2 linked regions of the Macaca mulatta genome follow. The protein of the gene in region 1 purifies or fractionates together with the protein of each later gene. This does not show direct contact. Links are inferred from orthologs where the notes say so. Each region holds a gene or a part of one and is shown in the gene's direction. Other genes may lie near its edges.

The links.
Region 2: the proteins of EXOC6B (region 1) and EXOC8 purify together in Homo sapiens (affinity purification with mass spectrometry; 3 studies listed by BioGRID and IntAct, counting the BioPlex papers as one, with this or other methods). This does not show direct contact. The link is inferred for Macaca mulatta from reciprocal best matches to the Homo sapiens genes EXOC6B and EXOC8.

The regions. Positions count from the first base shown.
Region 1 is NC_133418.1:51,918,259-51,922,539, forward strand, and holds the start of EXOC6B (exocyst complex component 6B), read left to right. Parts: upstream 1-1,339; 5' UTR 1,340-1,462; coding exon 1,463-1,575; intron 1,576-1,884; exon of another isoform or gene 1,885-3,078; intron 3,079-4,281. UniProt on the Homo sapiens protein: Component of the exocyst complex involved in the docking of exocytic vesicles with fusion sites on the plasma membrane.
Region 2 is NC_133406.1:17,695,392-17,699,747, forward strand, and holds EXOC8 (exocyst complex component 8), read left to right. Parts: upstream 1-1,320; 5' UTR 1,321-1,410; coding exon 1,411-3,588; 3' UTR 3,589-3,917; downstream 3,918-4,356. Other genes in the region: DNA-dependent metalloprotease SPRTN, read right to left, coding at 546-766. UniProt on the Homo sapiens protein: Component of the exocyst complex involved in the docking of exocytic vesicles with fusion sites on the plasma membrane.

The DNA.
Region 1 (4,281 bases):
ATATATATCAAAGCATATATATGAGTATTTATTCTTTTAAAAAACAAATGAGGACAGAGTCTATATACTGTTTCATGCCTTGCTTTTTTCTGCTTAACAACTACAACTTGGAGACAGTTTCATGTATGACCATAGAGTCTTTTGTCTTTCTTTTTAATGACTGCATACTAGTCTGTAGTATGGTTGTAGCACAAGTTATTTAGCCTAAACTTCCAGTTTTTTTGTCTCATGACTTTTTTTGTCAGTGGAAACCCTCTTCTACTAGTCACTCTGGTACTAAACCTTGGAGTAATATCTAACCTTTTTGGTATCTAGTAAATCCTGTCAATTCTCCCTTTTTGATGTTTTTCCTATTTGCTCATTCTTTTTCATTCTCATTGCTGCTTCCCTGGTTTAGGCCTTATCATCTCCTATGGCGTTTCCTTATCTCCAAATTCTCTATCTCTGCACATCTTGCACACTTGCCCTTCACCAAATTTCCTAACGCCCACATTTTGATGTGTCACTCCTCTTAAAAACCTCTGTGTCTTCCCATTCGTTGTGTTATGTAACAACTCAAGCAATGATCAATAAATCTGATTTTTAAATTGTAACTGAGGAGTTCATGAAATGCAGATGCCTGGATCAGAATCTCCAGATGTATGACCGTTAGTCTGTATTAAAAAAAAAAAAAAAGTTTCCAGGTGCTTCTGTTGCAGTTGGTTGTTGGATCAGTGGAACCATTAGAACAAAGTCCACATTTCTCAGCCCAGTATTTAAGGCTCCTCGCAATTTCTCTCCAACATGCCTTTCCAGACCCATCCCTTACTACTACTTCTTTACACATCAGTGCAAATGAAATTCTTTTCGGCCGTCTGGATTCTCCTCACAACTTCCGGTTATGCCTTTTAACCTCCGAAACTCAGTCTCTTTATGAAACTTTGGCAACCAGAAGAGATCTCTGAACTCCATTCTCTGTACTGGCTCACAGTTCACGGTTTTGAATTCTCCAGCTCCCCGTGTCTCCCCCACTAGATTGTAAGGCTTCTGTCAGACATTAAGTTACTTTATTATTCGCACCTACAGAGTCTTTGCACTTTGTGACAAAGGTGGTAAACAAGAATTTGTAGGCTTAGTGCCACTGCCTGACTTGATCATCACTGTTTACGCAGTGTTGTTAACTGTTTTTAGCTTACAGTGGGCTTTCAACAAGTATTTGCGGATCCAATGTATGAATGCAATGTATGAATGCACGGAATCCAACCTAGCATTTCCCAGAGAACTACAAATCCCAGCGGACATTACGCAGAACGCCGACGGACGCGGTGACGCAAGGGGGCGTGCCGAGCCTGAGGGAGGGGTCGGCCTGCGGGTAGCCAGAGGCTGGGGCGGCTGTGGAGCCTGGGGTGGAAGAGGGAGTGTGGGGCAGCGAAAAGGTGAGCCGAGCTGACGGAGGGGACGCGCTGCGCGGCTCCCCCAGTCTATGGAGCGGGGTAAGATGGCGGAGGCGGAGAGCCTGGAGACAGCGGCAGAGCACGAGCGGATCCTGCGAGAGATCGAGAGCACTGACACGGCCTGCATCGGGCCCACGCTCAGGTACCCCGGGTGCCGGGGCCACCGAAGGGCGGGAACGGGCGGGACGGGGCAGGCTCCTCTGGGTCCGGGCTCCGGCCGGCTGTCTCCATGGCCGGCGCTGGCCTCTCCCTTGGGAGAGACCCTGCGTTCCGGGCGAGGCGGTCTCCCTTCGCAGCCCCGACGCGGGGTCCCTTCGCGGCGCCCCATAGCCCAGTGACTCAGGAGGCTCCCGCTGTCTCCCTCGGGGCTGGAGCAGCCTTCGTTCTCCCTCCGAGGCTAGTCTGGCGCTGGGGAACGAGCGGGCGCCCGACAGATGGTGGTGGCTCCCGTCAGATCTTCTCCCTGGGGACATCACCCTTCTCCCTCCGACTCCAACTCCGTCCTGCCCTAGACAGGAGTCCTGCTCTTCAGATAACACAGAATTTCACTCCATGATCTGGTGCTCGAAATCAAAGTCTTGCCTCAGAATCACAGCCACTTCTCAGAAACGAGTCCTTGGAAATCCTAGGCCTGGATGGAAGTTCCCCCAACCCGCGCCCCTCTCCTGGGAGCCGCTGCTCCTTTATCCCTGCTTCCTTATTACGAGGACGACCCTCGCCCACGGTGCAGCCTCCTCATCGCTGGGGAAAATTGACCCTGCTGCCGCCTCCAAGTTACCATTTCTTTTTTTTTTTGCACGCACATCTCCATTTTATTTGGAGATGTCAAAAGAAATCCCGACTTACCTCAACTTATTTAACAAATTTAGGTAGCACTTGTTACATAAAGTGCAAGACGTTGTAAACAGTGATTTTACAAATGCAACTTATTTAAGCCACAAAACAACCGTATTAGGTAGGTTCTATTACTCTCCTTTTACAGATGGGGCGCAGAGAGGTTAAGTGACTTGGCCAAGGTCACAGAGAAAATAAAGTAGGGGACTCAGATTGCTATTCGGGTAGCCTGGATCCAGACACTTAACCACTGTTCTGCCTCAGCTGGAGATTACCGGCTACCCGTACTTCCTGTTGATAATTACTCACTAAGCCTAGTTTTGAACTACTTTCCCCCTTCCCCTCATGTTACTGGTGTCCTAGAACGAACTCAGCCTTATCCCTTACTGTTATGCATTCTGATCTTCAGGCAGCCAATACATAGATAACTATCTTACCCTCCTTGCACAGTCTTGGGTCACTGCCCCTCCCATCAGAAAAGTTATTACTCATTGCTTGCGTTCTCCTGGCGTGAGTTGACTCAGGAAAGACTAATTGAAGGAGGGCAGGTTGGAAACTACTCCTCCTCTCCACCTGCACAGCTTCCTTCTCCAGGACACATTGTTAGCACATTTCTGCCAGTACCACCCCTGGTCATAACTATGGTAGTTTGCCTTTTGTCTCTTTATTTATTAAAAGTAATAGCAAAAACCGCAATTACTTTTGTACCAACCTAATATTCATTTATTGAGACAGGGTCTCCTTTTGTCTCCTAGGCTGCAGCGCAGTGAGGTGATTGTAGCTCACTGCAGCCTTGACTTCCAGAGTTCAGCTCCTCCCACCTAAGCCTCCTGAGTAGCTGGTCCTACAGCTGTGCACCACCACCACACCTGGCTACGTTTTAAACTTTTTGTGGAGATGGGATTTTGCCATGTTGCCTCGGCTGGTCTCAAACTCTTGGGGTCAAATGATCCTCCCACCCCAGCCTCCCAAAGTGTTGGGATTACAGGCATGAGCCACCGTGCCTGGCCCCTTTGTCCTTTAAAGTGACTTTTAGCTCCCTTTTTTGGACCAGTTCTTCCACACAGTTGCCTGTCTCTCCACCAACCCCCATTGCCTTATGATCAGGACCATTGTGCTTCTCTCAATTCTCATTTTCTTTAGCTCTTAAGGGTCAATGATCCTATACTTTCCTACATTTTCCTGTATACTTAAAATCATCTCTAGATTACTTAAAATACCTAATATAATGGTAAATACCATGTAAATATATGTTATACTGTATTGTTTAGGTAATAATGACAAGACAAATGTCTGTAGCATGTTTAGTACAGATGCAACCATCCTTTTTTTTTTTGAGACAGGGTCTCACTCTGTTGCTCAGGCTGGAGTGCAGTGGCACAATCACTGCAGTCACTGCTCACTGCAGCCTTGACCGCCTGGTGATTCTCCCCTCAGCCTCCTGAGTAGCTGGGACTACAGGCGTGTGCCACCATACCTGGCTAATTTTTAATATTTTATACAGAGGTGGGGTTTCACCGTGTTGCCCAGATTGGTCTTAAATTCCTGGGTTCAAGCAATCCACCTGCTTTAGCCTCCCAAAGTGTTGGGATTACAGGTGTGAGCCACTGCACCCGGCCACTGTCCCTTTATTTTTTCTCTTAAAACTTTGATTGAAGAGGTTGGTTGAACCTGCAGATACCGAGGGTCAACTGTATATACATTACGATTTAAATATAAGTTACCCAGTCTCCCTAAAACTTGTTTCATTGATATTATTGAGTTTTTTCCACTGAAAAGTGGGGTTTTGTGTAGGTAGATGGATTAAGAGATCTTTTGCCCTAAGGGGACACTGTAAAAAAAAAAGTTTGAGACTCAATACCAGTTTTACTTGCTTTTCTTGACTTCCTATATGATTATTACGGGCTTATCATTTTTGGTCTTAACTTTTTTTTTTTTTTTTTTTTTTTTTAGCAGATTACACTAAATCTTACTATCAGACCCAGGGTTTATTCACTTGAATATCCTATAATAC
Region 2 (4,356 bases), on another chromosome or scaffold:
CGTGCAGGAGTAGATTATTATTTCAAATAAGGATTTCTCAAATTTAGCATGTAGAAAAAGAATCGTTTTAAAAGCATCACTGAAGATCCCCACTGCAACACACGAGCTCACTAAAGTGGGTTCCTAACGGGAAAGAGAGGAGGGGAACGCACATCCTTTGGAGGTTACTCTGCGTCCTCAGCACTTTCTTAGGGGCAGATTTGGTTGCTTTTCCCTTCAGGGTCCTACAGCACTATCATAAGGCAAATCAGGAACTTGTTATTTTCAAGTTTAGTGAGATTCAAACACAAATCTCTTTTCTCGTTAGGGCCCTGAGTCCAACCGTGGCGGTGGGGTCTACACAGCTTTCTTATTTTTCGAGTGGGAGAAAAGGTAAGAAAAAGAGAAATACGCCAAGGCAGGAATTGCCAGGTCCAAAACCAGACTCCCCCCTCATTTAATGCCCCCTGGGACCGTCGGACCAGAGAAAGGAGAGAAGACCAGGACCGGGGGCTGCAGGAGAACTGCCAGTCCCGCCTCTTTCCCCAGCGGGGCTCGGAACTCACAGGGTCATTCGCACGCTCCACTTCACCTCGACGGCCTCCAGCTGGCCCCAGAAGAACTGGTCGTTAAACTGAACAAACAGGGCCTGCAAGTCCGGTGTGGGGTCCACCAACTCCCACGACGCGTCCACTAGCGACAGGGACTCCTGGGCCTGATCGCGCTCCGCCTCCTGCAAGTTCCACTCCTCCTGAAGCCGCAGGGCCAACATCAGGTCATCGTCCATCGTTGCCAGGATCACAGGCGGGATCCGCCGGTGTCAGGCTGGCTCCGAGTTAGGCTGCGACCCCAAGCCGCCTAGCGGAGGACCAGGACTAGCTCCTAGGAGATACCGGCTCTCGAGACGGCCAGTCAATCCCGCGAGAGTTCGCGGAAACTCGCTTGAGAAAGAGAACGTGAACGAGAACGGCGCTTACCCCAAACGCCGAAGCCAAGATTCTAGGGCTTTAAAACAAGCAGTCAGCACGACACCTCCTAGTGGGCGCAGAACCTGGGCTCACAGGGCACCGGCCCTACGAAGCTTTCAGGAAGCTAGTTCCAGCCTTTACTCTTTGCCGGTTATTTCAAACCTCAACGTCACGCTCGGTTCATGCGCAGTACTCAAATTGCTCTCGGCCTCTCCACTCACTTCCGCACTAGCTCCTCCGGCGCATGCGCCTTAACTGATGGCATTCCTGCGCAGGCGCAATGTCTGCGCCTGGCCCCTTGCGCAGGCGCAGTGTCTGACGCTCAGACCCGGCGCAGGCGCACTCGTCTTGTTCCAATTCCTGCTTCCTCAGCCCAGGAGCTCGGTGGGTCTTGGGTGGGTGTAGACAGCCGCGGCGGCTGCGGCGCCGATAGTGACAGTGAGTGCGTGAGACCCGGACGGAAATGGCGATGGCGATGTCGGACAGTGGGGCGAGCCGCCTGCGTCGGCAGCTGGAGTCAGGGGGTTTTGAGGCGCGGCTGTACGTGAAGCAGCTCTCGCAGCAGTCGGATGGGGACCGGGACCTCCAGGAGCACCGGCAGCGCATCCAGGCGCTGGCGGAGGAGACGGCGCAGAACCTGAAGCGCAACGTCTACCAGAACTACCGGCAGTTCATAGAGACGGCCCGTGAGATCTCCTACCTGGAGAGCGAGATGTACCAGCTCAGCCACCTGCTGACGGAGCAGAAGAGCAGCCTGGAGAGCATCCCGCTTACGTTGCTGCCTGCCGCAGCTGCCGCCGGAGCCGCTGCCGCGTCTGGCGGGGAGGAGGGAGTCGGTGGGGCGGGGGGCCGAGACCACCTCCGAGGCCAGGCCGGTTTTTTCTCCACCCCCGGTGGCGCCTCCCGCGACGGCTCCGGTCCAGGCGAGGAAGGAAAGCAGCGCACTCTCACCACCCTGCTTGAGAAGGTGGAAGGCTGCAGGCATTTGCTGGAGACGCCGGGACAGTACCTGGTGTACAACGGGGACCTAGTGGAATACGATGCCGACCACATGGCCCAACTGCAGCGGGTGCACGGCTTTCTCATGAACGATTGTTTGTTGGTGGCTACCTGGCTGCCGCAGCGGCGGGGGATGTATCGCTACAACGCTCTCTATTCCCTAGATGGTTTGGCCGTAGTCAATGTCAAGGACAACCCGCCCATGAAGGACATGTTCAAGCTGCTTATGTTCCCCGAGAGCCGTATTTTCCAGGCCGAAAATGCTAAAATAAAACGAGAGTGGCTGGAAGTGCTGGAGGAGACCAAGAGAGCCCTCAGTGAGAAAAGGCGAAGGGAGCAGGAGGAGGCAGCGGCCCCTCGAGGGCCACCCCAAGTGACTTCCAAGGCCACTAACCCATTTGAGGATGACGAAGAAGAAGAGCCAGCTGTTCCTGAGGTAGAGGAAGAGAACGTGGACCTCTCCATGGAATGGATCCAGGAGTTACCTGAAGACCTGGATGTCTGCATTGCGCAGAGGGACTTTGAAGGGGCTGTTGACCTGCTGGATAAATTGAACCATTACCTGGAAGATAAGCCTAGCCCACCTCCTGTAAAAGAACTAAGGGCCAAAGTGGAGGAGCGAGTTCGACAGCTCACTGAGGTGCTGGTTTTCGAACTCTCCCCAGATCGTTCCCTGAGAGGTGGTCCCAAGGCTACTCGCAGAGCAGTTTCGCAACTGATCCGGCTGGGCCAGTGCACGAAGGCCTGTGAGCTATTTTTGAGAAACAGGGCAGCCGCTGTTCATACAGCAATTCGTCAGCTTCGCATTGAAGGCGCCACTTTACTCTATATTCATAAGCTGTGCCATGTCTTCTTTACCAGCCTTCTTGAGACTGCAAGAGAATTTGAGATTGATTTTGCAGGCACTGACAGCGGCTGCTACTCCGCCTTTGTGGTCTGGGCAAGATCAGCCATGGGCATGTTCGTGGATGCTTTCAGCAAGCAGGTGTTTGATAGTAAGGAGAGCCTCTCAACAGCAGCTGAGTGTGTAAAAGTGGCTAAGGAGCATTGCCAGCAACTGGGTGATATCGGACTGGACCTCACCTTCATCATCCATGCCCTTCTGGTGAAAGACATCCAAGGGGCCTTGCACAGTTACAAAGAAATCATCATTGAAGCCACTAAACATCGCAACTCTGAAGAGATGTGGAGAAGGATGAACTTGATGACGCCAGAAGCCCTGGGGAAGCTCAAAGAAGAGATGAAAAGCTGTGGGGTAAGTAACTTTGAGCAGTACACAGGGCATGACTGCTGGGTGAACCTAAGTTACACAGTGGTTGCTTTCACCAAACAGACCATGGGCTTCTTGGAAGAGGCTCTGAAGCTGTATTTCCCAGAGCTGCACATGGTACTTTTGGAGAGCCTGGTGGAAATCATTTTGGTTGCTGTTCAGCATGTGGATTATAGTCTTCGATGTGAGCAGGATCCAGAGAAGAAAGCTTTTATCAGACAGAATGCATCCTTCTTATATGAAACAGTCCTCCCTGTGGTGGAGAAAAGGTTTGAAGAAGGTGTGGGGAAACCTGCCAAGCAACTCCAAGATCTGAGGAATGCATCTAGACTTATTCGTGTGAATCCTGAAAGTACAACATCAGTGGTCTAATGCTTGGGTCTGTTTATATGTATGTATATATATAGAGAGAGCGCTTATATATTATTTATATTTATATTAAGTTGTATTAGCATACTCTTTATAGTTTCAAACACAACTTGAAAATTAAAAGTGCCCTCTTAGAATACAAAAATCAAAAAGAGGAAAAGAAGTTAAATTAAGCCCAAATAACAAAAATACTGGAATTATTAAAACATATAGTATGCTAGCTATCCTTTTAAATTATGCTGATTCTCTTCTGAAATTATGGTCACACTATACACTATAGCATTTCAGTTTCATCCTTTGATAAAACACTTTTTGGTTTTTTTTTTTTTTTTTTGAGACAGGGTCTCACCCTGTTGCCCAGGCTGGAGTACAGTGGCAACGTCACAACTAACTGCAGCCTTGACCTCCCAGGCCCAGGCAATCCTCTCACCTCAGCCTCCCATGTAGCTGGAACCACAGGCTGGCACCACCATACCCAGCTAATTTTTGTATTTTTTGTAGAGATGGGGTTTTACCATGTTGCCCAGGCTAGTGTTTTCTTTCTTCTTTTTTTTTTCCGCACAGTATATATTATACAGCAGAGTAATAATATCTATAAACATAGAGTTTATGTTGTGAAAATTTTCCCAGTTCACTAAAAGGTTTCCTAAAGGGTACAGTGCAGTATAAAACACCCTGCCTCATTTATTTCTCCTCAAAACGTTGGACTATTTGGGAAAAAGAAAAGCGTTGGGAAAATTGGTTTTAGGGTAAGTTTTAGTCAAAAGAGTT